Yarrowia lipolytica: one gene and its partners. The protein of the gene in region 3 purifies or fractionates together with the protein of the main gene of each other region. This does not show direct contact. Links are inferred from orthologs where the notes say so. Each region holds a gene or a part of one and is shown on either strand. Other genes may lie near its edges. The genes, in order: YALI1_E32816g, YALI1_D11722g, YALI1_C05813g and YALI1_A05254g.

The links.
Region 1: the proteins of YALI1_C05813g (region 3) and YALI1_E32816g purify together in Saccharomyces cerevisiae (affinity purification with mass spectrometry; 3 studies listed by BioGRID). This does not show direct contact. The link is inferred for Yarrowia lipolytica from reciprocal best matches to the Saccharomyces cerevisiae genes RRP17 and FPR3.
Region 2: the proteins of YALI1_C05813g (region 3) and YALI1_D11722g purify together in Saccharomyces cerevisiae (affinity purification with mass spectrometry, with the first as the bait; 3 studies listed by BioGRID). This does not show direct contact. The link is inferred for Yarrowia lipolytica from reciprocal best matches to the Saccharomyces cerevisiae genes RRP17 and SPB1.
Region 4: the proteins of YALI1_C05813g (region 3) and YALI1_A05254g purify together in Saccharomyces cerevisiae (affinity purification with mass spectrometry, with the first as the bait; 3 studies listed by BioGRID). This does not show direct contact. The link is inferred for Yarrowia lipolytica from reciprocal best matches to the Saccharomyces cerevisiae genes RRP17 and NOP53.

What each region holds. Positions count from the first base shown.
Region 1 is NC_090774.1:3,277,967-3,285,240, reverse strand, and holds YALI1_E32816g (uncharacterized protein), read left to right. Parts: upstream 1-3,640; coding exon 3,641-4,864; downstream 4,865-7,274. Other genes in the region: YALI1_E32842g (60S ribosomal protein eL6), read left to right, coding at 1,044-1,607; YALI1_E32792g (uncharacterized protein), read right to left, coding at 5,005-6,033; YALI1_E32776g (uncharacterized protein), read right to left, coding at 6,583-7,274. UniProt on the Saccharomyces cerevisiae protein: Proline isomerase that belongs to an abundant class of enzymes that catalyze the cis-trans isomerization of X-Pro peptide bonds and can accelerate the refolding of proline-containing polypeptides. Specifically binds nuclear localization sequences.
Region 2 is NC_090773.1:1,167,739-1,176,334, reverse strand, and holds YALI1_D11722g (uncharacterized protein), read left to right. Parts: upstream 1-4,075; coding exon 4,076-6,628; downstream 6,629-8,596. Other genes in the region: YALI1_D11756g (uncharacterized protein), read left to right, coding at 479-612, 660-819; YALI1_D11686g (uncharacterized protein), read right to left, coding at 6,971-7,711; YALI1_D11666g (uncharacterized protein), read right to left, coding at 8,366-8,596. UniProt on the Saccharomyces cerevisiae protein: Required for proper assembly of pre-ribosomal particles during the biogenesis of the 60S ribosomal subunit. Specifically methylates the guanosine in position 2922 of the 25S rRNA at the stage of 27S pre-rRNA maturation.
Region 3 is NC_090772.1:577,752-584,563, reverse strand, and holds YALI1_C05813g (uncharacterized protein), read left to right. Parts: upstream 1-3,165; coding exon 3,166-3,954; downstream 3,955-6,812. Other genes in the region: YALI1_C05837g (uncharacterized protein), read left to right, coding at 791-1,219; YALI1_C05820g (uncharacterized protein), read right to left, coding at 1,497-2,519; YALI1_C05789g (uncharacterized protein), read right to left, coding at 4,187-5,656. UniProt on the Saccharomyces cerevisiae protein: Essential protein involved in ribosomal RNA processing.
Region 4 is NC_090770.1:521,675-528,875, reverse strand, and holds YALI1_A05254g (uncharacterized protein), read left to right. Parts: upstream 1-3,409; coding exon 3,410-4,804; downstream 4,805-7,201. Other genes in the region: YALI1_A05284g (uncharacterized protein), read left to right, coding at 300-328, 467-638; YALI1_A05259g (uncharacterized protein), read right to left, coding at 840-2,927; YALI1_A05229g (uncharacterized protein), read right to left, coding at 5,073-5,930; YALI1_A05220g (uncharacterized protein), read left to right, coding at 6,115-6,185, 6,802-7,051. UniProt on the Saccharomyces cerevisiae protein: Late-acting factor in the nuclear maturation of 60S ribosomal subunits, which is required for normal acquisition of export competence. Required for the export of the large subunit.

The DNA of each region.
Region 1 (7,274 bases), on a different chromosome or scaffold from region 3:
TTAAACAGAAGCGGTATATATTATTTTTTTCTGCATTAGTTCCAGTGCGAGTATCAGTACAACTACGAGCAGTCGGCTTCGGGTGTGGAGTGCCTTCCCTTACCCATTAGTGTACGGTATTTGTACTGTAGATCTCGATGGTGGCATATGCATAGATTCGAATGGTTGTGTAGCCTAGACAGTGCCCATAAGGAGTTCCTATACAACATGTACAGTAGCATCTGAGGATACTCGCGTGTTCTTGGACAGCAACTAACCCTACTGTATGAGTACAGTATGAGTAACTTCTTTCCTTACTGTTACAGAAGAACGGATTTCATGTACTGTAAAAAGAAGGAGAAAAAAAAACAGTACAATACAGAATCACGCTAATGCACAAGTAAAATCCAACTAATGTTAGCTAGTTACTCAACCAATTCTAACTAATAACCACTCAGCCCTAATAGACATTTTACAGGTGACTACTTGTACTCGTACTGCAATATCAACCATATATTGATACACGTGACGTCCCAACGCCCTCCCGAGCCACAGCAACCAACCGCGTACTCCGCAACACCAACTGCAGCTCACGTTATGTCGCATGGCGCATCGTGTCCCACAGAAGGGTCTCTATCACGCTGCATAACCACTCTAACTCCTGAGATTGGTGAACTTTAATTTAGTAGCAGCTGTGAGAAGGCCATTTGAGCTCCAAAAAGACACTCAGGAAAAGCGAAAAGAGCACTGTATATCCCCTAATCGTTACTAATCAAACCGTGCCTGTTCGGTTAAATAGGGTTAGGACTGTTTCCTCATCTGAGTGGTCTGTCCCAAACAGGCAACCTCTCGTACCTCCCAACCCTGGGTTAGGGTGTGACTTTGGCTCTGTTTCCTCCCAACTGTCACGTGAATTTCCCAATTAAGCCAAAAGGCAGTCACACATTCCCATTCCCAGATGTACACTCTTTTTTCATGCAGCTCCGGAGCATCGGCCGCCGTCAGGTATAGTGGATTTTCACCGCTCTCATTTTCCACTCACCTCAACACCCTAAACATCAAAAATGTCCAAGCAGATCGGAGGAGCCAAGAACGGCGGTAGCCGAACCGTCCCCACTGAGAAGGCCCCCAAGTGGTACGTCGCTGAGCCCACTCACGTCAAGATCCCCACCGTCCAGAACAAGTCCAAGCTGCGACCTTCTCTTGTTCCCGGTGCCGTACTCATTCTCCTTGCCGGCCGATTCCGAGGCAAGCGAGTTGTTCTCCTCAAGTCTCTTGAGGATGGCACTCTCCTTGTGACCGGTCCCTTCAAGGTCAACGGTGTCCCTCTCCGACGAGTCAACGCCCGATACGTCATTGCCACCTCCACTAAGGTCGATGTCTCCGGTGTCAAGGCTGACAAGTTCACCCCTGCCTACTTCGCTCGATCTTCCGCCGACAAGAAGGCCGAGAAGCAGTTCTTCGCCGAGGGCAAGCAGAAGGAGCTCAAGGCCGAGCGAGTCGCCGACCAGAAGGACGTCGATGCTGCTCTCATTGCCGAGATCAAGAAGACTCCTCTTCTCAAGCAGTACCTGGCTTCCCAGTTCTCTCTCAAGTCTGGTGACAAGCCCCACCTGCTCAAGTTTTAAATTATAAAAACACAAAATGGAACATGGGGGTGGAAAATGGTGGACGGTGGTGAAGCCGTCGTCTGTCAAAAGCTGTATAGCAATGCAATTTGAATTTTACTTACAAGTAGGCGCGAAGCGACTATTTGTACTCGTAGCCACAAGTGGGAGTCAAAAGTAGGAGCGTATATATACGACTGCGTGCACACGTAGAACCAAAAAAAGGCACTGGTATCTGTAGCTCTTACTTGTAAACCGCATTTTATAAATTGTTCCACAAAATGCTTGCCTGTGGTGATGGCGTTGTGCTGAACAGCGCTGACTAGCGGTGATGTGCTGTATTAGAACCTGTGTTTACATGTACTCACCGATATTTACGTCCCGAGTTCGACTCAGACCATGGAAGCCACTTGTACGTAATCACTCACTTGACAAACGGTCTTCTGTGAAGAACCATTGTACTTGTAGCTTGTTGCTGCGGTCTCTCTCTGTAAATACATTCCATGCTGTTCAGACTGCTACTGCCATGCATCTCTGGTCGCTGTTGTTCCGTTGTGAAGCGGGCATCCATTAGTGGCTCTGGGGTGTGGGAGGATGTTGCTTGTAGTTACCTACAAGTAGAACAATGATGGCTCTTCTGGCACGAGTAGTAAGAGTCGAAGTATTGGAAACTGGTGTTCTTTGCACTTTTTTTTGTATTACCAACCTGTCCAGACCTTGTTACTGTAAATGCTACTTTTAGACAACTGTCATACTGGACTAGGCTTGATAAAACAATGACCTTCTAAACTCGCAAGTTTCCTCTGACCTGGTAGATGACTTAAGATAGCTCCCCTCGTCTTTACCTCTCAGACATATTGGTGCCAGTTGCTGTTCACACAGCATGTACGGTAGGTGTCCATTCGCGATACCACTCTCTCTCAACTTGGACACTCTTCCTACAAATGTACAACCGCCTATCATGACCCGTAGCTTCTGGTGGCTACACTGCGGAATGTATCTCACCAGAATGAACACCAATTACAGCCCCTCTGTCACCATGGCATTAATTGAGTCGCCACCTGGGTGTTTGCCACCAACTGGACCTCTACCACATCTTCTGCTACAACATGTCAACATGTATCTCCTCATCTACAGTACGACGTCATCAGTGCATCGTCTATGTGGAGTGCGTTTTTTGTTTTTTTCACTGTGCAGCTTTATATACAGTCCATGGAGCCAGTTTTGGTGGGCCACGATTTGTGAAAAAACCGTCGTCTTTAGTTAAGGCTCAGTTGGTGTTTCACTTAAAGCAGCCGCCCAATGTCCGTGTGGTGCCTGCCAACAAAGCAGCAAGTATTGGGGGTGAAATGAGATGGAAAAAAGAGTAACAAGACCAAAAATGGCTATATGGACTGAGAAGAAGTACAGTTACACATTCTATAGTGACCCGCCATAGTCCAACCCCTATACATGTGACAAATATCCATTCCCATCTCTGCCTCACCTCGCCGCCACCTTATCCTGCACGCCTTACATGAATAATGTGTATGGTGTTGCTGTTCCAAAGAGTTCCATGGGAACGAAAAAAGCCATTGCTCGAGATGGGGGCGACCAATGCAGACCAATCACAATCTCACATGACCAATTCAAGGCTACCACACTACTGGACCAAGCAGCCTTCTCTGCCAGATGTCCCTAAGTTGCTATAAATGTTACGTGACGACACAACCAACAACGATTGCAAGCACCAAGTCCCAAGTCCAAATAGTCCCACGTTTATTTTCCATGGATTGGGTTTGAGAGTGCCTTGATGGGCTGCGAAAGACGACATATCGCCTAACAGCAGTGGACGGTTCTACATGTCATATACACGTATGTTGGTGCATGTGTCCTACCAATTACCTCGATAGATCCCACCATTGCCACAATAACGGTTTCACCGTCTTCCACGAGCTCCAGCCAAATGTACAGCACTCCCGTTAAGCTCTTAGTGCATATGCAACCTTATTCCAAAAATTTGCCCATTTTAAATACTTGGGTCTGCACTTTTGTATCTATCACACACAACAACCATGTCTAACAACGCCAACAACTGCCTTCCCCTGGCCTCCTACACCCTGGCCGTGTTCCCCGGAATTCCCGTGGCCCCCATTGAGCAGGACTTCCCTGTTTCTGTGCGAATCACCATGGCTGCCATTGATCCCGCCCGAATTGAGGGTGATGAGGAGGAGCCCGCCACTCTCCGAATCCTTAAGCCTGCCGACAACTTCGACGATGAGGACGACGAGGATGACGAGGACGAGGATGACGACGATGAGGATGACGAAGTCTCTGCTGAGGACATGGCTCAGATCAAGAAGCTGATCGCCGCCAACGAGGACGGTCTCGATGAGGTTGAGGGAGGAGACGACGATGAGGATGACGACGAGGACGACGAGATGGAGTTCGAGGAGGACGATGAGGACGACGACGACGAGGGTGAGATTGAGGACTTTGTTGTCTGCACTCTCTCCCCCAAGTTTGGATACCAGCAGACTCTTGATCTCGTTATCACCCCCGGTGAGCAGATCATGTTCGAGGTCACTGGCTCCTACGCCATCCACCTCTCCGGTAACTACATTGAGCACCCCTACGACATGGAGGACGAGGATGAGCTCCTTGCTCTCGGTGAGGACGACGAGGATGATGAGGACGAGCTCGACGAAGGCGAGTACGATCTCTCTCCCGATGAGGATGAGGTCATCAACGGTGACGAGCGACTTGTCGAGCTCATGGAGCAGGACGACGAGGACGATGAGGACGATGAGGATGAGGAGGAAGAGCCCGTTGTCGAGCCTAAGAAGATCCTCAAGCGAGCCGCCGAGGAGAAGAAGCAGGAGAAGGCCGCCAAGAAGGCCAAGGTTGCCTTCACCAAGAACCTCGAGCAGGGCCCCACTCCCTCCGAGCCCAAGCCCAAGCTTGTCACCCGACAGCTTGAGGGTGGTGTCAAGATTGAGGACCGAACCGTCGGTGAGGGTCCTTCCGCCAAGGTCGGCTCCAAGGTCGGTGTCCGATACGTTGGCAAGCTCGCCAACGGTAAGGTCTTTGACTCCAACTCCAAGGGTAAGCCTTTCTACTTCTCTGTCGGTAAGGGCGAGGTCATCCGAGGATGGGACATTGGTGTCCAGGGTATGAAGGTCAAGGGTGAGCGACGAATCATTATCCCCCCTGGAATGGCCTACGGTAAGCAGAAGCTGCCCGGTATCCCCCCCAACTCCCAGCTTACTTTCGATGTTAAGGTCGTTAACATCAAATAAGCGATTATCTTCCAAGCCCACAAACGACTGGCCAAGACAAACATATTGGTTAAGTATGTATTTAATGTATTATTGATATAGACGTTAAGGTGTATGCAGTATACTTGTATGTAGGTTGATGTGAATGTACTTAACCCCGGTCACACGTCACTGAGGTTCATGACTTGGCCTGGTTTGAGATTTAAGGTGCCTGAACCAACTACAGGGTGCAACCAGCTTATAAACTGGCCTTCAATATGCTGAATTCCACTGCGAAAGTCGAATAGCACATTAGTCAGAGGGTAGATTAACAGAGTGAGTGTATCTATCACATGTGTTGTTTCCAGAGTGTTGTAGCACACGTATCTATCATCATGGTAACCGATTTCCACCCCATTGGGACTCACCTGATGATGTTCTCCAGTAAGCATGTTCTTCACTTGAAGAGTGTAGTTAGGTCCCTTGAAGAATAGCAGTCCATTTATAAGGACGCAATTGACACTGTTGGCGGAAGCCATAGTTATACATCCTTCCAACAAGTTCATTCTCCTCTCCTTCCAGTTCACAAACAGTATGTCACTAAGAAAGTCTTGTTTGTCTGTTTCCTCTGAGTCTTCCCAGTATCTATGGAGATAGACAAAGGTCTGGTTTGGATTCGAGGCTCTAAAGAGATGCTTGTGTCTTGTGTTTTGGTATTTCATAGGTATCTGGACTCTCAAATCTGGTCCCTGTCGTTTCTGCCACACCACGCTGTTTTCTTCTAGGGCGATGGACTCAAACTCCTTGTTGAATTCAGAGAAACAGTACCAGGACGTAGTATCAGTTCCTCCTTCAGTTTCCACCGCTTTAACACTCCATTCCCGATAGTTCACCACATACCCGATCTTACCGTCTCCTTGTATGTATACGAGGTGTTTGAGGAACCCAGCCTTCGGACTAGGAGGACCTGCCTTCTGACTGCACTTGGTCAAAGGTCCTGTGGTGAAAACCAGAGGTCTGTTGAGTCGAATGACGCTGTTTTTGGCCTTCTCACAGAACTCTCCCCCGATATCTTTCAGGTATAGAGCCCAAACTGCATCGGACAGTTCGTTGCTCAGATGAAAGAGCTCTCTGCACGAGTATCTGAGGTTCAGCGCGGTGCGAAAGTCGACCAAAGAGAAAATCTGAGTCCAAATATCGTGGTTAAGCATGTTTTCAGTTGTTTGAGCGGTTTCCAAAGGTCTGGCAAAAGTCCTTGTGACATTGTGTTTTAGTGTATGTTAGGATGCATTTCGGTGGAAAAACATGTGGGTTCATGTTCGTTAAAGGCGATAAATTTGAAAAGTGAGAGTCGGTGACAGATTTGAGATATTTGCTCAGTAATTTTGTCATGGTTATACGATCCCTAGTTTTACTCATAAATACAGCACTTCCCCAAGGAACTCTTCTCTATCCAACGATGCTACATGCACTATTGTAGTCTTGGCTACTAGTGTCAACTTGTTTATTCGGCTTCGGAGGGTGCATCAGTCTAGATCTGGATACTAGCATCTTGTGAGTGTCATCATAATGAGTACTCGTACAAGTATCTACATTGTACCGTCTCGAACTTGCATGTGTGCTTGCACGAGTACCTATTTAGTACTGTCTCACAATGTCTGGTCTCAGTGTCCTATGTCTCAAACATCTGGGCCTTAGGGTAGCCTCCCATGCCTTAGATTCTCGTAGCTCAAAACAAAATAATACATTATATATGACTTCTAAACACTGCTTTCGGTCTCCTTTCCGTAAGACCCATCGTCTCGCTGTTCCGGGTATTCTTGCTGTTCGGGGTAATGTTCCTGCTGAACGTCCTGGAACTCGTTTTTTTCGCTCTTGCTATGCTTGACAGCTCCGGCGTTGATGTGGGTTCGGCCCCAGACGAAGCCGGGGTAGAAGACGGTCAGAATGGTGATGGCAATGAGCATCATCAGACCGTCCAGCACAAGCAGGTAGGCCTCGTGCTGAAGAAGATTGCCGTACCAGCCCTCAGCCAGCTCGACGACTCGGTAGACGGACCGAGTGAAGACAAAGCCAAAGGCAATGTATGTAGCAATGACAAAGTACTTCATCTTGGGCGACTCTCGAATAGCAATGATTTCGGGGTCATTGGCTCGAGAGTCCGCGACGTTGGGGTTACGGATACCCTTGTGCACTCGCCACAAGAAGTCAGTGGTCATGATAAAGAAAATTGACATGGTGAAGACCTGAAAAGCCATACCGGCGACCATGATGTGAGTTCCGTCGTCGGTAGACTTGTTGTCGTAGAGAGCAGTGGCTGAAATACCTCCTCCTACAGCCTGGATGACAATGGAAATCAAATCACAGGCCACGAAGATCAATGTGTACACCAGAGGAGCTACCCGACTGTAGCTCTCTCCGTAGATGACGACAAACTTTGCCAGCAGACAGT
Region 2 (8,596 bases), on a different chromosome or scaffold from region 3:
TCTCTACATCACAGTGGATTTGTGTCATGGTAAAGTGCGGCGAGGGTGATTTCTGCGTGACCCACACTCTATCCGGACACATGTTTTCTGTGTCACGTGCTCTCCTTAAGTTGACTGATCCAGCGAAAGCATCTTACCGTTCTGTCAATGTGTCTCTGAGCACAGATCAATCTTTTTCCACTGCTGTGCGTTTTGTTCAGTCGTGGATTGACCCCGATATTGACCGACCTTGAGTCTGGTTAATCTAGTGACGCGCGAAAGCTTTTTACCGTCATGACTAAAAGGGTTACATTTTTTGGGCGACAGCTGGCAGCAGCAGCGATAGCGATTGGAGCCAAGTGTTGCGTCTGTCCTCCAGAATCTGTCTACTAATCATCTCTGGATGATTTCTTCCATCTAGCGCCTGGATAGCAGATGATGGTTCGGTTTCTTGCCTGAGCCACTCCTACCGAACGACGTCAACTATCGTAGACTGTAGATGATGACAGTAGAGTATCTACAAATAGGCGGGGGAGTCCAACAACATGTACCAGTGGCTATCTGCAACGAACCGGAGGAGTCTTGCGCAGTTAGGATCCCGCAGTCCCGACCCTCCGACCAGGCTGATTCCTGGTCTTCCTCAACATGATTCTATCGACTTCAACAGCTACGGACTAAAGTCCACCTCGGAGACCTGCTCGGTTATCTGTTCAACCGTGTAACTCTTTCAGAGGAGAGCACCATCTCGACTACCTGTTCAACTACTCCACATGGCTCGTTTGGCAATACATACAATTGTATGTACTGTACATGAAGGCTTCAATTCCAGTACCTCTATAATACTGCAGGAGTACCTAGGAGTACACTGGAGACTTCAGGTCAAGTATATACTCGTACGGCACTTGTACTACTGGAATCGTAGCTACTTTTACTGGAATCGTAGCTACTTTTACTGGAATCGCAGTGACTTTTACTGGTCCCGTCGCTACTTGTATTGTAACCGCAGCTAGTCTCGAGCTATGCTGAACCGTCTGTGATTATCACCAGCTTTTCAGTCGTATATGATATTGGACCACAAGTATGGTATGGTATCTAGTCCAACCCCTCAAGAGTCTTACCAATAATGGTCCGCGTAAAGGATTGATTTACCGCCTCGCCATCTGTTCTTCCAGTCAATTAGGTCAACTAGTTTGGAACTAGTCTGGATCTACAGCAAGGTGCTAATTCAGACAACAAGAACACTCATTTCCGTCGTTTACTTCCAGAAAATGACATATATATACCCGTAGACCGTCACCGGTTATACCCCAGAGATCGCCATACCCCAAGGAACGTCATACCCCAAGGGAGATCTGTATAAAAGACGAAACATCTACCCTTTCTTGTAGAATTTGGTATAACTATGTTCACAGGACGCTGTTATACAAGCCAATGTGTTTTTACGACCAGGTACAAGCTCTGTAGATGTAACGAGTAAGGAAATTAGAACATTGTTATTCTGAAAACAAGAGGACCCAGACGGCAACTTTGGATACTTATGATCCGCAGCACACTCTCAATCTACTCTACAAGAGCAAGACATGTCTGGAGACTTCAAATACCTGTCGTTTAGACAATGAATCTTGATACTCGGCTGTTTCAAAGGCCCACTATTGTTATATTGCTGATGAGACTTACCAGGTGTCTGTGCATGACTATTTCAGAGTCAGCATAGGAATCCGTGATGGACAAGTCTGCTCATAGATATGTAGAGGCGACCTATATTTATGTAGCGCTGTAATTGCACAAGTAATATACCGGTACTTGAACAGGTAGATACTGTGCTCACACGTCTTGCTTTATCCGATTGAACTTGACCCAGACATGGCCATTCAAGGTCTGATACAGGAAGGAGAATTGTCGATTGTATGTCCGGTGATTGAACTGAATGCTCAGGAAAGACAAAACATGCGATTATATTAGTACACACAGTACCCGCATTAGTACCGGTAGAATTACTTGTTTTACTTATAAAAAAGCCATTTACGACAGTAATTAGACTGGATTTCTTCTAAAATATCGTCATTATGTTTACACCTACTGACACTCTCGTATTTGACTGACTATCTTTCAACTTCTATATCTCCGGTCTACTTACCCACCAAACAGTCTGGTAGCGTAATAAACCACTACAACACACAGAAACTGTACAAAGCCTTCTCTGAATCCCACGGGACATGCTTCAGGAACGCTTCATACTCCGTCCAGGGGTATCGTGTCTTTGGGCATCATCTGGCCCAACACCAACAACGTCAATTGAGCTTCCTGAAACGACTCATCGAAGATCTGAATCCTAGAAACGTTTTAGATACTCAATTGAAGCGAGAGAGTTCGATTATGCCGGGCTCTCATTGAGCGACTTTGGCACTTTCAACGGAGTCTTCAAAACCCCAAAGTGCACAACACGTCTCAAACAGCACTTGTTGATACACAGTTGTTAGGTGCCCGAATAAACCCGACGAGAGGAAACACATATCTGAGAATATATACCAATACAGCACAGCAGCAGTACTCTTTCGAGTCAGCCCAAATCTCCTCCATTTCCTCCAGAAACTCAAAATTAATTAACGTTGGATTTATTGACAATTTATTCGTCTCGACTGCGAATTAGCCGTGTAAATTAAAAATCCAGAGTTATGCACCATCATGCACGCTTAAAACTCTAACAAAAGCTTATTTGACTCGATTTTTTTCTGCTAAACTCAATTTACTGACTACCTGAGAAGTACGAGTACGAGTGAGTTGAAATCGATATGCAATGAAAAAGAGGCCATCTTACAGTAACAAACTGACATCGTCCCTGTCTGTGAACGACTTGAGTCGAATTTGAGCCGAATTTGAGCTGAGACCTCTCTCGCCACATCTTGTCTTCATCGTCTTCATCTTCGTCTTCACCTACCGGATAACTTGATCTTCTCCAATAGCTTCTAGTATACCAACAAAATGACATTGTGGAGGAGATGTCGAGGTACTGTTTACAGAGTTGAATAGCCAGTCCTCTCTGGACACGTGATTCCTCCCGACACTTGATTAAACCGGAATGAGCTCCAGAGTCAGTTTGAGACAGCCTTGCCGCGGAGATCTGCCTAGTCGACCTACCGCGTGGAACGGCCTGGATGATCATTGTCGATATACAGTACCGCGGAAAACTGCCTGATTCACTACTGTATGCTCTGTCGGAACTGGTCGTTGATATGGCCAGAAAACAACACTCCGGCCACCCACGGAACCATGCCAGAACGAGCTCGGTATAGGAGGGAAGGATTGGAGACAAGACGTGAATTCTCTCTCTTGTAATTGTTCGTGGGTCTAAGAATGAACATCTAGATGAACGCCTCTCAGCGCGGCTGTTTAAGACACACGCTAGAAAGGAGCCACTGGTAGAGTAAAACTCAAGCTGAGACGCGCTTTGGTTTCATTCTCGTACGAGTACAACCAACAATTGTACAAGTAGTTCTTCCTAGCACTGAGTAATTCTTCCTAGAGCGTCTCCTAGTGTGATTTTCCTTCTGGTTAGAATGTCTTTATAGGTGCTCCAATATGATCCAGTCCTACTCATTCAGGCTCAACTAAAGCTTAAGTAATTTTAGGGTCCCAGTTTCCACAAAAATGGCAATAAAATCATATTTTGTATGGAGAATATGGGAAATAATATAATTATTTTCATCAATATTCAAATTCCATACAATCTGAACCTTTCCCCATCTTTCTACCACCCCTGGAACACCATATTTGCACCCCCAGCCGAGTTTTCCTTAACAAGGTTTAACTAATCACCAGTCTCAGTCAGTGGCAAATACAAAGTCCATACCCGAGGATTATTGTCATGAACAACATTGCAACCAAGTCAGCTTCCAAAATCATCCCCCTCAAATGAATGAAATATACCGGAGGGTAGGATTTCGCCCCTTGTCCCCTTTCCAACTAATCCCAAGTAAATTACTCAACGGCCCGTCTATGCTTTGTGTTACCCTACCGAACCTTGAGGTTAAAAAATCGGACAGGCTGCATGAGCCTTCTAAAATTATTTTTCAGCTAACCATACAACCAGACAACCATGGGTAAAATTCAAAAGAAACACGGAAAAGGTCGATTGGATCACTACTATCGATTGGCCAAGGAGAAGGGCTACCGAGCGCGATCGTCGTTCAAAATCATCCAGATCAACCAGAAGTACGGCAAGTTTTTAGAAAAGTCCAAGGTGGTGATTGATCTGTGTGCTGCTCCTGGCTCGTGGTGTCAGGTGGCGTCGCAGCTCTGTCCCGTTAACTCACTCATCATCGGCTGTGATATTGTTCCCATCAAGCCGCTTCCTAACGTCATCACTTTCCAGTCAGATATCACCACTGACCACTGCCGACAGCAGCTTCGACAATACATGAAAACGTGGAAGGCGGACACAGTCATGCACGATGGTGCGCCCAACGTGGGTATGGCGTGGGCCCAGGATGCCTTCACGCAGTCCGAGCTGGTTCTGCAATCGCTCAAGCTGGCGGTGGAGTTCCTCAACAAGGGCGGAACCTTTGTCACCAAGGTGTTCCGATCCAAAGATTACAACAACCTCATGTGGGTGTTCCAGCAGTTTTTCGAGAAGGTGGAGGCCACCAAACCGCCCTCTTCGCGAAACGTGTCCGCCGAGATTTTCGTCGTCTGTCTTAAGTTCAAGGCTCCCAAGAAAATCGACCCCCGACTGCTGGACGCCAAGTACGTGTTCGAGGAGGTGTCTCAGGGCAACAACAACAACGAGGCCAAGGTGTTCAACCCCGAGGTCAAGCGACGAAAGCGAGAGGGTTACGAGGAGGGCGAGTACCTGCAACACAAGCGTCTGTCCATTCTGGACTTTATCACAGACTCTACTCCCATTGACAATCTGGGAGAGACCAACGAGATGACGTGGACCCCCAGATCCATCAAGGAGGGAGAGGTTGACGAGGAGGAAGAGAAGGAGAAGGATAAGGAGGCTCGAGACGAGCGGGGAAACGTCCAGTATGTGCTTGACGACAAGGTTTACTCGGACGAAGACGCTCTCAAGATGGTGTCCAAGCTGCCCCAGACCACCCCAGAGCTGCTCGAGTGTCTCAAGGATCTCAAGGTGCTAGGCCGAAAGGAGTTCCGGGCCATTCTCAAGTGGCGACTCAGCGCACGTGACCTTCTGCAGATTGACAAGCCCGAGGCCGGAGTGGAGGTTGAGGAGGAGGAGCTGGACGAGGACCAGCTGATTGACAAGGAGCTGTCTGAGCTTGGCGAGCGAGAAAAGGCCCGTAAGAAGCGGGAAAGACGACGCCGAAACGAAATGAAACAGCGAGAAATCCAGCGAATGCAGATGAACATGACCACCCCCACAGAGCTCGGTATCGAGGCTGCCAAAATGGAGTCACTGTTCAACCTGAAACAGGCGGAGCGAACCGGCAAGCTGAGCGAGCTGCAGAAGGGTAAGCGAAGCCATGTGAGCGAGACAGGCGACGAGCACGTGACTCTGGAAGAGGCCGAGCGGGTCGACTACGGCTCCGACGACGAGGCCAACGGTCTGGAGGATGAGCTCGAGTCCATGTACACCGAGTATCTGGAGAACAAGGCTGCTCGAACTGCCAAGAGTGTGGTTCAGCGAAAGAAAGCCAATGTTGAGACCGAGGAGTGGTTTGGTATTTCCGACAAGAAGGATGGTGACGAGTCTGACGGCGAAATGTCTGCTGACGATGTTGACATGGCCACCATTGACGATGGCGAAGACGAGGACGACGGCAAGACTGCCCGAACTCTCAACAACGGCAACATGTTCTTTTCCAACCCGATTTTCGACAATCTGGTGAACGCCGCCGTGGCCAAGACCGAGGCCAAACCCAAGGCTCTGGACCTGCTGGAGCCCGGAGCCAAGGACCTGATTGAGCTGGAGAAGGCCAAGAAGCGCAAGTACGCCAAGAAGAACGGTCTCGAATACTCCGACAGTGAAGACGAGGAGGACGATATCGTCATGGAGACCCAGAAGCAGGACGATTCTGACATTGAGTACGTGCATGGCGAGTCTGACTCCGACGACGAGCCCAACATTGATCTGGTGACCGACCAGGCCATGACCATGGCCCACCAGTTGGCCACCGGCCAGACCAACAAACACAAGCTCCAGGACGATGGCTACAACCGGTACTCGTTCCGAGACCTGGACGGCCTGCCCCAGTGGTTCCAGGACGACGAAAACAAACATAACAAGCTCAACAAGCCCATCACCAAGGAGGCTGTGGAGGCGCTTAAGCAGAAGATGAAGACTCTCAACGCCCGGCCCATCAAGAAGGTGTTGGAGGCCAAGGGCCGAAAGAAGATGCGAGCTCTCCGACGACTGGAGCAGATGAAGAAGAAGTCCGAGCTGATCAACGAAGATGGCGCGCGATCGGAGAAGGAGAAGGCCGATGACATTTCCAAGCTCATGCGAAAGCTCGCCAAGCCCCAGAAGTCCAAGAAGAAGACCGTCACCGTCGTCTACGCCGGAGGAAAGAACAAGGGTATTGCTGGCCGACCTAGAGGAGTCACAGGAAAGTATAAGATGGTTGATGGAACCATGAAGAAGGAGCAGCGTGCTATTCGACGAATTAAGAAGAAGATGGGCAAGAAATAGTCATATGGATAGAATTAATGGATGGTATTGTATTAGAATAGTGAGAGAGTGGATGTGATTGTTGGTGTTCAGTCAGTTGGACTGTATCTTTAGTTGAAATAGTTTTTTGGATCTACTTAGCATGAAAAGTCCACTGGGGGGCTCATTTCTGGTGTTCCTAACTTACTAGAGAAGAAAAGAGTGTGTCCTAGGATCACAGGGTACCTCTACTAAGTAGAATCAATCAACAGTTCTCCTTACTGATCCAGTCTCTTACTGGATGCGATCCACTACTCACCATATCAATCACCACTCACATCCGTAATCATGTATCTATTCATATTTACTACGAGGTGGCTCGCACTAGTTCTGCTCTCCCCCAGCCAGCGCAATGACTCCGCTGTTCTTCTCCACATCCTCGTCGGGCACAAAGAAGGCTCCTCCCAGGTAAATGGCTGGCTCCTCAATGTTGTTATGCTCGTAAGACAGCACACCGACTCCTCCTGCCTCGAGAATCAGAGCCGGGTTGATGGTGATGTCTCCGTTGACCCATCGCAGAGCAAAGACTCGCAGGATGTGGCCGTGTGCGAACACCATGACGTCGCAATGCTCCTTGCCCTCGTCGAGCGCCTTCTTGTGGATCACCCGGATCTCCTTGATGAGCTCGTCCACTCGCTTCTGCACCTGTTGGGGCGACTCTCCGTCCTCGCAGCCGTCGGACCAAATGTTCCACTTGTGGCCGTCCTTGTCGATGCCTCGCGCGGTTCGGTCGGCCCGGATTTCGGCTGACTTTCGGCCCTCGTACTTGCCGTAGTCCCACTCTCGAATGTCTTCGGTCACGGTCTGGGGGATCTTGGCGAGAGCCTCGGGCTCGTCCTCAAAAAAGAGCTTGAGCGTCTGCTGGGCACGAGATCGGGGCGAAACAAAAATGTGCTCCACGTACGCCGGGTTCACCAGCCGGTTTCGGCCCACCAGCGCCCGTCCCGTCGCTCGCACTCGCTTGACTCCGTTCTCAGTCAATGGCAGATCAGTCACCGACGTGTGTTGGCCGGACTTTGACCATTCGGTCTCGCCGTGTCGTACAAAGATAACTCGAGGGGCCATTGTGTGTGTGTGATGTGTGTGTGTGTGTGTGGGTGGTTTGTTGATGTGTACTTGCGTTTGGAGTGGTTGGAGGAAGAGAAAGAGTGGTCTTGGAGCACTCGTAGCAATCTTGGCAAGTTGCAATACCGCTTGCAGACAAACGCAACGGCTATTTAATGTTCGGTGACGTCAGCTGGGTGGGCCCAAACTAAGTGTGGGGTTCGGGAGGGGCAAAAAAAAAAGCCTTGTCGCGGGGTTCAGAAAGAGGAGAATTTTCGATTCCGTGGAAAACCGCGCGAATTCAGACGGCTTTCTAATGATTCAGACCGATTCGCGTTTCTGGAGCGGAAAAAAACCGCAGTGACTAACAAACCTTAATTAGACGAGTCCATGCATAGACGCAACCAAATGCCGTTGCACACTTTTTTAGGCTCGTCCAGTTATTCCGAGGCGGTTGCAAAGAGTCCTAGGTTTCGACCGAAAATTTGGAGCAAATCGGGCTTCTCCAAGGCAAGGCTTGCAGAAGGCACCAAGAACCTTGTCTACGAGTACAGTATAAGCATAATTGATTACATAACCACATTACACATAGCATGCTGTAGATCCGTGTTCACTCAGTCTTAGATCACGCAGTCTTCACAGTCGTGTTTACTCTGTGATTGCTCAGCCCTATCTCTACAATTGCATCTCAATCTGAGGAGCCTTCTCTCCATTGAGCGCAGTCTCGGCCCTGCCCTTCCATGGTGTGGACAAAAGCCGCTGAAGAAACAGGTCCCGGAATTGTGCAGACTCGGGATTCAGGTCCTGCAGCTCCAACTCGCTGTCAATCAAGCTGGGGAACGACAGAAGCCGCTGCATGCCCCACTCCGTCTCGGACAGCGCCAAAAGAAGCGTGTATCGGGCCAT
Region 3 (6,812 bases):
CACACTTGCCATCGTTGGCTCATCTGTTGGAAGGGTCGAGCCTCTTCCTTCAACACCTCTCCAACTATCACTTGTTGAACGAAAACCTGGACGTGAGTGACACCACTAGTTTCCATTATGAGGGACGATTCACTCAGCTGAATTTTTTCAATCGGATGGAGTGTTCAGTCGAACCCTCCACTAGGGTGCGGTGACTCTCCTGATGAGTCTCTCTGTTAGAGAGAAGAGTCTGGTTATTGGAAAGACTTCCAGTAGGTGATATGCAAGTCGTTAATGCATTTGTTATGGTATATCTAAAAAGTTTTGTTATTTTTTCAACATCACTCAAATAAATTTCATGAGTCTTAACAAAAATGTGCTTTCCACTCTGAAGACCTGGACCCGACCCAAGACGCTTTGCAGGAGCCCCCTTGTATATAAAGCGGGCTGGAATTTGCACGTGTTTGGAGGGGGCTCTTAACATGTCAGATTTACAACTCCAGTTGGTGAGATCGTTTTGACAACGAAGTAGTGCGCTCATCAGTGGTCTCTTCAAATGCTGACTGGATCATGCTTCTCCTCATTGGTGATGATGCATAAATTAGAGTCGACGCTCATAGGGAATTAGCGAAGATATCGAGAAAATCGACATTCAAAAGTAACCGAAATGTCCCCATGATCTCGTCAGGTAATCCCCTTTCTATTTGTGAACAATTACTCGACCAACTACCATTCCTATCCTGGCTGTCCTCTACATCAGAATTAACTCAGGAACTGAACTCTACCATTACAACTACACTCAGTCGTCATCATGAAAAGAAGCCGAGATGAAGACCTCGAAGATACCTGCAGAGATTTTGCACCAACTCCAAATACCTATCCAACCACTTATACCTGCTCGCTGCACCCCGATCCAATCTCTTTTGCGTCATTGGAGGCCTTCGAAAGTCATTACTCAACCAGCCATACTTGGACATGCACCACTTGTCAGGCCAGGTTTCCGAGCGAAAAATTTCTGAATCTGCATCTGGACGAAGAACACGACCCGTTCGTAGCGATATCACGTGACCGCGGCGACAAATATCTTGCATGTTTTGAGGAGGGCTGTGATAAACGGTTTGCAGAGTACAGGAAGAGGAGGATGCATCTGGTTGACAAGCATGGGTATCCGAAGAACTTCAGGTTTGGACTGGTGACAAAAGGACTGAAGGAGGGTGAGGTTTCGCTTTTGAAGCAGTGATGAGTCGAGGATGAGCAACTCAGGGCTAGACGGGTGGTTGTGAGTTTTTGGTTTCCAAACTCACAATGGGCACGTCTGAGGGGGATATCGCAAGCAGTGCTGTAGAGACGACGAGATCGACACAGCGCCAATAACTTTACATGTATACACATTCAACTGCCGATTCTGGCCACATACACTAACCATTCATCAAGGGTTATACAAATACATTGCATTATGTTTACATCTATGCTATATGAACCGCACTGGTTCATGTTAGGGATCGGTCTAATAGCAACTATGGCTTAACGACCTTCTTTTTCTTCTTCTTGAGAGGTTTTCGACCCAAACCAGCCAAAGTCTTCTCAGAGTAGGTAGTATCGCATGTAGGACATCTTCTGTTGCTGGGAATCTGGCTCATGATACACAGACAGACAGAGCAGACATAGCCAATATCCACCACCTGTTTAGTCAGGAAACATGCTGCTCGAAAGTCCACATTGGACTGGGTGGGCAGCACAATATGGGGTCGTAAACTGGGGTCTGAGATAAAGCCCGATAGCAGATACTGAACCAAACCCTTGGGTGTTTTGGAGTTCTTTTCACTGATATCCATGTAGATGCCGTGTGTCGAGTCGCATGCTTGTTGCAGAAAGACCTGGTCGGATCCAGGACCCAGTTTGCACACATCGACGGGGATCTTGAGCTTTTGGGCGGCGAAAATGCAGTTCATAGTAGGGATGTATTGGATGGTTTCGTTTTTGTGTCCGACGGTGAGCAGCAGGATCCTTGCTCGCATTCTCGACTCGTCCACAAACACATGTTTGTTTATGAACCCTAGAGCTAGACTCAGTGCTCCGGAGATGGCCGAGTTGTGTTGTTTCTCCTCCTCCACGTAGTTGGTGTGGTTCAGCATGTTCCACAGCTCCGTCTGCACAACCTCGTCCACCGTCTTGAATTGTCTGTACATGGAGTGGTCCTTCTTGCTGGGTGCCTGTTCTCCATCGCTTACACTCTCCGATCTCTCTTCTCTCTCCTTTGATCTAGTCGATTCAACGCCGCTTTTAGGAGGATACAAAATTCGAGCACCACTGGCGTTGTATCCAATCACATTAACGCTGTTGGAGTTGTGCAGAGCCAAGTGGGCGTTGATGAAGACGAGAATGGAAGCCACAGCCTCCGAGATGGATATTTGCGACTTGATTTCTTCCCACGACGGCACATGGGCGTCAATGATGATCGACAACAACGACGGCGTGTCGTCCAGAGTCTGATCCTCCGTGTCCTTGAGCTGGCGGGACGTTCCATCAATGGCGTTCATGGTGGTGGAGGAAGGCTTCGGTGTCTGAAAAGTAGATGTTAGATAGAGGATTTGAGTTTGCTGATTTGAATGAGCTGCGAAAGTACCAGTACAATCCTGTCTTGTACTTGTACGAGTGTACAGTTCTTTTTACACGTGTATAGGGGTGGGTACATATTGATGTGATCATGTGATATAATTAGTTGATACTGTACTGTGAGTGGGATTACTTATCCAGTTCCTTTCTTCTCGGTCTCCATCAAAGCTTAGTCATGTCATATTTCAGTGGTCAGCCAGCCTGAACTTACCTCCCTACAATATCGTGCCAGTAGAGTGAATCGAACTCACGCCACTGCCCATACAATTGTAACATGTCGCTCTATCACACTCAGGGTTCGTATTTGAAGCTGTTATGCATCACTGATCGGTTCGAAACTCGGCCCGGATCTTCAATCCATGGTCCAAAGTGCTCAGAATGTCCCGGCTTCCACTTCCGCTTCCTCATTCTTCTTTTCATTTCATACACCCCGTCTACAAGTAGTGCCTTCCTCATAACAGAGTTCGAGTCTCATGCAGGTCTAAACCTCCACTGATATTTTTCATTTAAGCGTTCACCTCATTTTCGAGTTTTGGCCTGACCCCTATATACCCCAAGACACTCCCCAAAATGGCCGCCACCAACAGACAGATCTTGACGCAGGGCGACCGGTCATACGCCAAGAAAAAAACTAGCCAGTTTGGCGTGGATGAGGTCTCCTACGACGCCGCCAACCGGAAGGAGTACCTGACGGGCTTCCGAAAGCGAAAGCTGCAACGAAAGGAAAAGGCGCAAGAGAAGGCCAAGGAGCAGGCGCGGCTGGACCGGATCGCCGAGCGGAAAAAATTGCGAGACGAAAGAAAAGGTGACCAGGAAAAGGAGCGAGCTCGAATGCAGAAGGCCATGAAGGATATCGAGAGAGCTCGATCGGGCTATTTCAGCACTGACGACGAGAAGGATTCTGATTCTGGCGACGAGTCTGAGGATGAAGAGGAGGACGAAGAGGAGGACGAAGAGAAGACTTTAAAGAAGTCGAAAAAGTCGTCTAGCACTGATGAAGACGACTTCTCCGACTGGGAGGGTATCGATAAGCCCGGAGTGCTCAAGAAGCAAAAGAAGAAGTACGTGGACGGTCAGGGAAAGAAAACCACGGTGACCATTGAGGCCGTGTCCCTTGATTCCGATGATGAGGACCAGAACAACACATATGTGGACATGTCCAAGGCTGACGAGGTCTTGAAGGAAAGCTTGGACAAGGCTGGTCTGGCCGCTGTCTACTCCGGCATGGCTGAGCCCAAGGTCAAGAAGCTGGTCAAGAAGACCAAGAAGAAGTTCCGATACCTGTCTTCCACTGAACGAAAGAAGAACCTGGACAAGGAGCGAGCTCGAGCCAAGGCCAAGCGAACCAAGAAGGAGTAGGACACGTTGGACCGTACTGGTAGATAGTTTATTGCATGCATGTATTATAGGATAGCCAGGAATAGGGCGTAGATATGGTTGGAGTGAGTTGTAACGAGTTTCAGTGTGTTGCGTGTGATATGAATTCAACACCGAAGTGCGAACTTACTACGTATATATCTACAGTACATACTGTACTATTATCAGATCATTAGCCGTTACTCCTGGATAAATAAAATGCTCGAATACTTCTTTACAGCATATACACAAACTCCTTCTGGGTCTCACTGATGGTCGCATGATTTGTTCCACTGATGCGTCGTCGTTTCAGAAAGAAGACAATACCCAGAGTACCAAATACCGAAGCGATCATGAACCCCATGTTGATCCAACATCCCCGTTTGAAGAGTGGACCATCTGTTGAGGTGAAGACTCTCAGGACCAGTACTCCATACCAGCAGCTCACAGACGAGAAAATGGCGAAGGACATGAGTCGCTTGTTTCTGCCCTGAACATTACTCCCCAGCCATCCACAAAGAGAAGCAAAGGCAGCAGTTGCATTAGGAATCGTGAACCAGCCCCCTCCGAATTTGATCCACCAGTTGTGTTCTGAAGGCTTGCACAGAATAAGTGCCCATCCAATGATGCAGAAGAGATAATTCATGAGCAGAAACGGGGACAAAACTTTTTTCTGGGCAACCAAATACCCCTGAAAACTTGACCAAATGACACCAAACACGAGAATAGTCCATATGATCAACTGTCCCAAGGCTGCGGTATACTCCAACTCTTCAAAAGTCGCACTTTGAACCTGTGCATAGCATGACACCAAACAGGAGTATGTAAAGAAGCCAAGGATGGAGATAAACCAAACCAAGGGATCTTTTGCAGCGGAAATCAGACCTTCTAGAGGTGTCTCGGTCGGTTCAATTGGGTTTCCTCCTCCGTAATCTTCTTCAGTAAGTGTCTTGAAGACGTTGAATGCCTGCTCTCCGTACTTCGATATCCATTTTGGAGAGTAAAAGTTCTCAGGGAGCATGTACCAGACCACCGGAGCAAACACTACTGAACATAGGCCGGCTATAAAAAAGTCCCAAGACCATCCGGGTTTGCCTGCATTGATGAGACGAATCGCGATGGCCAGCATAGTGAACAGGGGGACCATGAACCAACTTCCACCCCAGACACAACCGACCACAAAGTGAGCCTCGTATCGGCCATGGTGTTCATAAATCATGTGGAGAAGAGCAGGCAGAGCAAAGCTCATACATGCTCCCATTACTGCTCTATCACAAATCAGCCCTGCATAATTGGTACAGAGACCCAGAAGAACAATGCACAGACCCCAACAGAACATTTCAACACCAATAAACACTCTAGGCGAGACTCTGAGAAACAAAAATGCCAGAGGAACTGCCAAAGTTGCATAGGGAAAGTACAGGGCAGCCTCAGTCCACTCAAATTGGGTATCGGACAGGTGGTTGAACTCCTGAAGCTTTCCTCCCTGAGCAGGCCCAATAACGTCACGTGCAACCAGATGGGCCACGTAGAACATTTGCAGCTGTCCGGAAATGGCTAGTGTTGTGTTTCGTCGGAGCTTTTTGAAACTGTTGGTTTCGATAAGAGTCCCTGACTTCTGAGAAGTTGTGTCAAGGTCTCGTTGCGACTTGAGACTAGGGTTCTCTGAGCCTGACAGAGGTGTGGGTAGTTTTTCGGCGTCCATAGTTGTTCATCTTCTCTGATCTCGCCATCCATTCAATATATATATCTCTCCATTCCTTAGCTCTTCCATCACGCAATGAAAAACTGTGGCGCATGAAGAGATTTAAGGAGTATCTCTATTGCTGAGAAGGGTGCTGTGCAAGAGAAGAACCATCTATTGCTCTTAAAACACCTATTGGTGGAGAAGGTATCTACTGGAATGTCTGTAAGCAAAAAGTAAACAGTTATTATGCTCCTTTCAAATCAATTGCACATTTCCCAGTCTCTCCCACTGCTCTCCTCCACGTCTACTTTCCCAGGATATTCAATTGACCTCGCCTTCTAACACCGTTTCTAGAAGCTCAGCCTCGTAACGATATCAGAGTTGTCCAAGAACCGAGAAATGCCACTGTAAAGAGAATATCTAGACAGCTTCAAGGTTTCTACAAGTAGATCAGCTCAACGTTTGTACAGTTGAGAACCTCTTACATCTCGTTTAAGGTACGCAATGCAGGGATTTGCGGCTACCAAAAACGTGTCTTAGAGCCTGGTATGAGGTCTTTGTCCACTGAAGACTTGATAAATGTATCGTTTTTCACGCTCGCATCCGGCTGGAAGTCATATTTATCTTGCCAACGGCACATTTCAGCCTGTAATTGTGTCTCCATTCATACCTCCGAGAAAAGACAACCTTCATAGAGCCGAGTTATTTAGCAATCAGTAAGTATTATCAACTCAATACCAACTCAAAGAGCTCGCTAAAAGTCTTCCAAGTGGCTTTCAGAACCTTGCAAAAACCTACACTTTGTCCAAAAGATCTCCAAACTCGCTCCAGGCCGTTTAATTGAACGGTGACCTTATCCACTCTCATTCGGAGTCATAGAAAGTCACTATTCTGGTAAATATTGCTCTTAGGAACTTGAAATTCGTACTGGAGAAGTTTTTAACAGGTTTTAATCAGTAAAAACAATTACTAGATCCCCAACTGCTCTGTCGAAAGTTCAGCGTCACATCCAGCGATCTCTGGCGGAGTGCATTAGATTAGCGCGTTTTAACGGTCTCTTCCAGCCCTCCGAAAGTCGACTCAAGAGCAGATAATAACTCTTGACAAGTACAATTGCATCATTACAAACACCCTGACAAGCCTCAGTTCTTATGTGTCCAACACTCCTTCTACA
Region 4 (7,201 bases), on a different chromosome or scaffold from region 3:
AAAAAGAATTGATCTCTCTGAGCTAAACGCAAGTTTTCAGGTCTAAATGAGTGTAAATCAGGTTAGCCAGGGCGACTATTCGTCTGGTCCAAGTACTCTGAGAAAAGTTGTCGCCTTGACCAATCATTTCACAGACTCTTCTTTCTGAAAAGCCTTACCAACCAGTGTATTGATTCGCTCTTGTAAAATTTGTAAAGCCTCCACCTTGAGCTTCGAACACTCGTTTCACCCAGTGATATCAGCCTGCCTATCAATTTAATGGCGGGCACAGCCTCGATCACGGAGTTGTACTCCCGCCAATGCGTCTCGTACCAAACGCCCTATTTTGGTGGGTCCAAAATACAAAAGGGGCTTGACTTGCGCAGTTCCGTCCGCAGATTGGCAAACAAGATCTCACAGCCCTTGTTGTAGTCGTCGTCGTCCTCTCTGTGAAACATCAGCTCCAAATCGCCCAGGATATACTGAGCCCTTCTGACACGCGCGCTCAGTTGCTCGTCTGCCGGACCAACGTATTCTTTCTCGAGAACGAACAGAACAGTTGCGATTGGTGTGTTCTGCTACACCGGTCTCTTACCAAGGAGCTCTCCGTCTACGGAACCAAGGAGAACCGAATCTCCATTGCCGGGGGCTTCCTCTAGAAGTCTCCAAAAGAGAATAAAGAATATGGGGAGCTTTTGGTTACTTTAGATACAGCACTGTAATTACAGTTGACGACCTCTGACCTGAGTGGAGATGAGATGAAGAACAGTAATCACATATCGTTATATAACATGCTGTACTAGTATGTACAGCAACGGCATACATACACCCACATATCTTTTAACTAGCAACTTGCTCATCTAATTGACATGAATCTGCACTGGCCAAGTTAAGGAACCCAGACACATGCGGTCTCCGAGCCCATCTGCCAGTTTCATCTTGGTCTTTTCAAATTGCAAAGGCTTAAGCGATTCGATATTTACTCCACCCGGCCCTTCAGGCCTGCGACGCAAGGCTCGTCGACAACTTTTGCTCCACATCAGGGCGACGAGAGAAGGACTGAGATCTTGCTTCATCGTCTCCAGCCGCTCATCCAAAAACGCTGGGACTGGGCCAAAGCGGGAGCGGGAATGAAAGTAGGGACCTTCCCACGAAACAATGGGATGGTCGAGACGGAGCGCAGCCTCCGCTGTCACGGTTCCACCGGATGTTCCTGTCATGTACCCGTAGGGAGGCCTACGAATCCCCCTAAGTTTCCTCTTCAGAGTACCGTACTTTGTGGGAGAGGCCTTGGAGGGACTCGTGCCAGGCTTGGCAGGGCTAACATTCTCCTTGGAAGGACTCGACTTGGTCTTGACAGGGGTGGCTTCGACGATACCGGCGCTGTCTGAGTGGCTTGTGCTCGGCCTTTTGTTCTCGCATTTATCACCGCGGTTCATCGTCATCAAAGGCGTGTCTGGGAGATTATCAGGCCATCGGACCCCTTTCGATACCGGGCGGTTATGCTTCTGAGACGGCTGGTCCACAAACGGACTAGGTTGATCAGTAAAGTAGCCCTCGAGGGGCTCCTGGTGCTGTTGGTTGGCAATACTGTGAGCAGTCTGTGGTCTCGACGTTCCGTCCCTTCCATTCGTTCGGGGTCGAGGGGGACCCTTATTTGGGTATCCATGAGCTGATGTTTGACCGCCGTAAGGAGATCCCTGGCCAACACATGGCGAGAAAGCTTGATTGTAGACGTGGTTCGGAGACGGCGACTGGTAGTAGGAGCTGTGAAGAGGCGGCGTCCCGTGGTATGCACTGTGAAGAGGCGACGACTGGTGGTATGAGCCATGACGAGGTGGTGTTGATTGGTAATGATGGTTAGCTTGCAAATGCGGAGGTGGCGTGTGTTGCATAGGGAATGCATGCGAAGGTGGAGTGTGTTGAATTGAATGAAGCAGAGAAGGAGGGGTTCCAGTAGAGGGCGAGTGCATGTTGGGATGCAGTTGCTGTATATGGCCAAGAGGAGCCATATTGAGGTCGTGGGGACTCCTGCGGAACTGTTGGAACTGAGACTCACGGGAGGAAAAGTCCTCCAAGCTGGCCTGTAGTTGTATCGCCTTATCTTTGGTATCCTCCAGCTCCTTGGCAATGGATGTGTTCTGCTCCAGTGTATGGTCCAGTCGGGCCTGCAGGTCATGAACCTCATTTTCCTTACTGGTCAATTGGGATCGCATGGTCTGTATCTCCTTATCCATTTGGGCCAGCTGAGCTTCGGCGTCAGACAAAGCCATCTGAGTCTGGGTGGCGTCGGACTTGACACGGCCCAGGACTTCTGTCAGCTCCTCATCCTTGGATACCAGTTGCGACTGTAGCTTTGCAACATGATTGAGCGCTTCGTCACGTTCTTTTGAGACCATGTTGAACTTGAGCTCTGCAATCTGCTCGCTGGCCTTGAGCTTCTCAATCTCCGCGATCGCTTTGATCTTGTCGTTGTTGGCGTCGCTGAGATGCTGCATGTGTCTTGCGAGATGTTCTTCGTCTGCCAATTTGCGACTCTCAGACATATTCGAACCCGCGGTTTGCAGATCTTTGAGCTGGTCACGAAGAGCATCGACTTCGGACTTGAGATTGTCGCACCGCCTGCGCTCCTCGGCTAAGGCGGCCTTGCCCTTTTGGTAGGACTGCTTGAACGTGGCCCATTTTGAAGCCCACATCTGTCGCTCTTTCTCCAAACCACGCTGCTCACACAGAGTCATGATTGTGGTGATGGTTTGGGTCAGAGACTTCCAGAGTGCGTCGGGGACATCGTGCAGTCTGGCCTTGGCGCCGAGTCGTTTGAACTCCGCAATGGTCGGTTCGAGGATGGAGTAGACATCTTTGAGCTTGCCGTTGATTTCTGCCGTGTCCACTTCATGCGAGATTTTGTGTAACAAGACTGCCAGGTCAGCAAGGACGGTGGTGGCCATGGTATCGGTCCGTCGGTGAGACGGGTGCGTATCGAGCAAGACACGGAAGTCGCTGGTATTACTGCTTTGACAGATGAGACAGTGTCACAGATAGGTCTCAGAGCGGATATCACACCAGGATATCACACCAGGGGTGTCACGGGGAGAAGTCGGTATCAAACGGGGGTATCAGTAGCGATGTATCTCAATGAGGGTATGCTTTGTTAGTGGCGTTAGTAGGCGGCGGTTTTCAATGACGGGAAACCGAAAAGTCGAAAAGAAAAAGAAGGAGAAGAAGAAGAAGTTGAATACCAAGATTCCGAGATTAACTAGTACAGTATACACAAAAGAGGTGAGTTTGTGGTCTGTGTCTCTTATTTCGGATTTAAGGTTTCAATACTACTCAGCCCTAACCCAACAGGAAGACTAACTCTAAAAAATGTGCAGGTTGATGCATTATGGAAGAAAATTCCAAAGGGCAGTTTTCCTAAGCACACGACAACATGAGCAAACAAACGAGCAGAAAAGGAAAGAAGGCGTGGAGAAAGAACATTGATCTGGAGGATCTGAACGCCGGTCTAGACAGCGCTCGAGAAAACGAGCGGCAGTTTGGCTCCAAGAACCTGGAGCAGGCTGGTGATGCTCTCTTCACTGTGGACACAGCTGGAACGTCTGGCGATGTCGAGACTTACCATAGCAAAAAGAAGGAGAAGCGTCTCAAGTCGGACGAGATTCTTGCCCGGCGATCTGCTGTCCCCGGCGTGATTGGCAAAAAGACCAAGAAGGAGAAGAAGATGAGCAAGGAGCAGCTGGATATGCTGTTGAAGAAGGCTGGACGACGAGATGTGGACAACAAGATGACCGAGGCTGCTCTGCAAGCCGACTCTGTCCTGGAGACTCCTGTTTACGACGCATGGGACGAGGCCCCCGCTCCTGTGGTTCCCAAGAAGAAGACCATTACTGCATCCAAGGTGGTCAAGCCCCGATCCGAGTTCCAGGGTTTCCCTCAGAGTATGACCAAGGTCAAGAATGCTGGATCTCGGGTTGCATACATGCCCAAGTCTGCTAAGCCTGAGAACATCATGCGGGCTACTTTTGCTAACGGTGATCACAGAGAGGCCACTTCTCGAACCCGAAGCACTGTGCGACCTTCCACTCTGGACCACAAGCCTCTTGTCTTTGGAGCCACTGACAAGGCTATTGAGGTTCCCCACGAGGGTCGATCTTACAATCCCTCTCTGGAGGCCTGGCAGGCTCTTCTCAAGGAGGAGCTGGCCAAGGAAGAGGCATTGGAGGAGGAACGACTGCAGCTGGAGGCCGACCAAGCCCGTGTCCAGCATCTCATGGACACCATGGAGGACCACGAGGACAAGCAGATGGATTACTCGTCCGAGGAGGAAGAGGAGGAGGCCTCTGATGAGGAACTCGAGGGCGGTAGCGTCGGTCTGTCTATCAACGCGCCTGCCAAGGAGAAGCGAAAGAGCATGGCTAAGCGACGACAGATGCGAGAACACAAGGAAAAGGAACGAATTCGAAAACAAATGAAGATGGAGATGAAGAAGATTCATGAGAAGATGCAACAGCTCGCCAAGCGGTCCGAGAAGTCCGAGCAGGAGAAGCAGGATCTCAAGGATCTCATTGCAGGAGGCGAGGCTGCCGAGAAGGTGCGAACCCGTCGGTACGGCAAATACGAAATTCTGGAGCCCACTCTCGATGTCAAGCTCTCAGGCGAGCTCACAGACTCTCTTCGACGACTCAAGCCCGAGGGATCGTTGATGCGAGACCGGTTCCGATCGCTGCAGCAGCGAGGAAAGATCGAGGCTCGAAAGCGACACAACCTCAAGCCCCGATACAAGAAGAAGGTGACCGAGAAGTGGTCTTTCAAGGACTTCAAATAGATGCAGATGGGATGGAATTAGTGAAAAGTAATATATTTTGGATTATACAGGATGTCAAGGTGAGATATTGGTATTGCGATACGACTACTGTATGTACAGGTACAGTGGTAATGGGTCTAATCATTTATGCGGAGCGAACGAGTTACTGTAGAGCAGACAATCTACAATTAGGACGGAAGAGATCTTCTACACTTATAAATCTGATTTTAAATAAATGCAATAAATATATAATACAGTAAACATAGTCGTGCAGTCACGATTTTTCGCTCTAAAATCCATACTTTGCTCCACTCTCCTTTTGGGTAAGGCGATTCTGAGAGTATGACGCCTCCAGCTGCTCCTTGTTGTCCTGGGCTTGTCGCAACAGACTGGTGATCTGGTGCTTGCCTCCTCCAATGGCCGTAAGAGGTCGCTTGTACTCGTCAAGCTTTCCTTCGGCCTTGAGTCTTTCCGATTCCTCCGTGAAAGCGTCCACTGAGAACTCGTGGATGTTGTCATTCGCCAGATTCTCAAATTCTCGATCTTTGCTTCGATTCTTGGGCCGAGGCGCTGCATCCAGCGTTTGGGCATGTGTTTTTTCAGAAACTACAATAATCGGTGGCTCAGCCACTTGTGTAACATTGTCCCCAATAGCCTGTGGCTTGATGATCTCGACCTTGGTGTCTTCCCTTACTTCCTTCTCCTGCTGGGCTCGCAAATTAAACAGGTTTCCGAGGCGTTTCGGAGCAGTTTGAGTCTCAGTTGTCGTTGAGTCCGCAGCCGCATCACCAGCAATAGTATCTACAACCGCAGTCTCTACAACCACAGTCTTTCCATCCGCCCCAACCGACTGGCCCTTGGCAGCTCGCTTTTCGGCTCTCAGCCGTTTTCGGACCGAGTTGGGCACCATTGTCTGCTTGTAAGATGCAGCGGTATTCACGGGGGACTCTGTCTGAGCCGGAGTCTTTTCCACCGCAGTTTCCTCTGTGCTAGTCTTGAGCTCTTCCTCTTTCTCAGTCAGCTTTTCAGGAACAGCAGTCGGGGTGTCCGTGGCGGAGCCCGCTCTGTCTGGAGACGCCGCTTTCTTAACGGGCTTGTTTCCCAACGCGCTGAACCGTTTCTTGTGTCGCAGTTGAATTTTTGCCATTGTCGCACTGATTCAGGAATCTTTTCAAAATCTTTTGGCCCATCACCACATATCCAGGAGAGCGCATCCTGTATGCAATGAAGTTACCCTACCTGTTCGCCTTGTCTCCAAACTCAAAATCTCATGAGGTCAAAATCTCACCACCCAAGGGCTCATATCACACACACCCACACATCACAGAAACATGTCTCAGGATCCCCATAACGGAAAGGGCACCTTTGAGGTGCACAAGCAACCCCAGCCCGGTCTCAAAGTGTGAGTATCACGACAATCGAGAGATTGACACGCCATGATATGTGTCGTAATCAGAGACAGGAGGTGGCTGCGACACTCAGGCAGTGTTGGCGGTGGAGGTTGGATTCGGGTGGCTAATGGTGGACGGGAGTGTGAAGAGAAGTTGTGGTTGAAATGGGCTATTTGAAGAGACGTGTTTGGTTGGTATTCCCCAAAGCGACTTGCAATCAAACTACCAATCTCACTCTCTTCAAGACACTACAGCTGCGTGCGACGATCAGAGCCACTGATCTCTCAATGCAACTCTGGGTTCAGTATCTACACGGACATTTTGTGACCAGGACAACACCGTGAATGAGAAATGTGTCTCCTTCATCCTTCTCTTCTCCAGAAAATCTACACGTTGTCTTGCTTGTGACAGACCCGTTTGAACTCTGCATTGCTGTGGCTAGCCACATGCCGCAACCAGCCAATCAATTGCTACAGCAAGCAGCACGTCGGTTTTATCACAACTACACCCTCTAAACTTTCGATGGTATCTTGAAGGACCTACTCCTGACCTCTGACCTCTGACCTCTGACCTCTGACCTCTGACCCCTGACCTTCGACCATGCTCGACCGTTCCATTCTAACACAGTTTCCGAAAGGGCAAGTACATTGACCCCAAGACCTTCCAGATGTCCCCCGCTCTGATTCGGGCCCGACGACCCTTCTTTGTGCGAAACATGCTCGCTCTGGCCGGCCTCACCGGTTTTGTCGCCGGTATCTACGGATACACCATGTACTCTCTGCGTACCGACGACTTTGGCGATGTGCCTATTCCTCCTCTTGATCCCGAAGAGATCAAGAAGCTCCAGAGCAAGTACAGCGACGACTCCAAGGCCTAGGTCTTTTGTATATATGTAAATAGTAAATTATTCTGACTGAGCACTGCGGGACTGACTGACCGTAATCAGGTCAGAAGTGCACCCAATGAGCTGTCTCATTGTGATTGTAGGTACGAGTAGACGACAATATAAGAACTCTACTCGTACCGG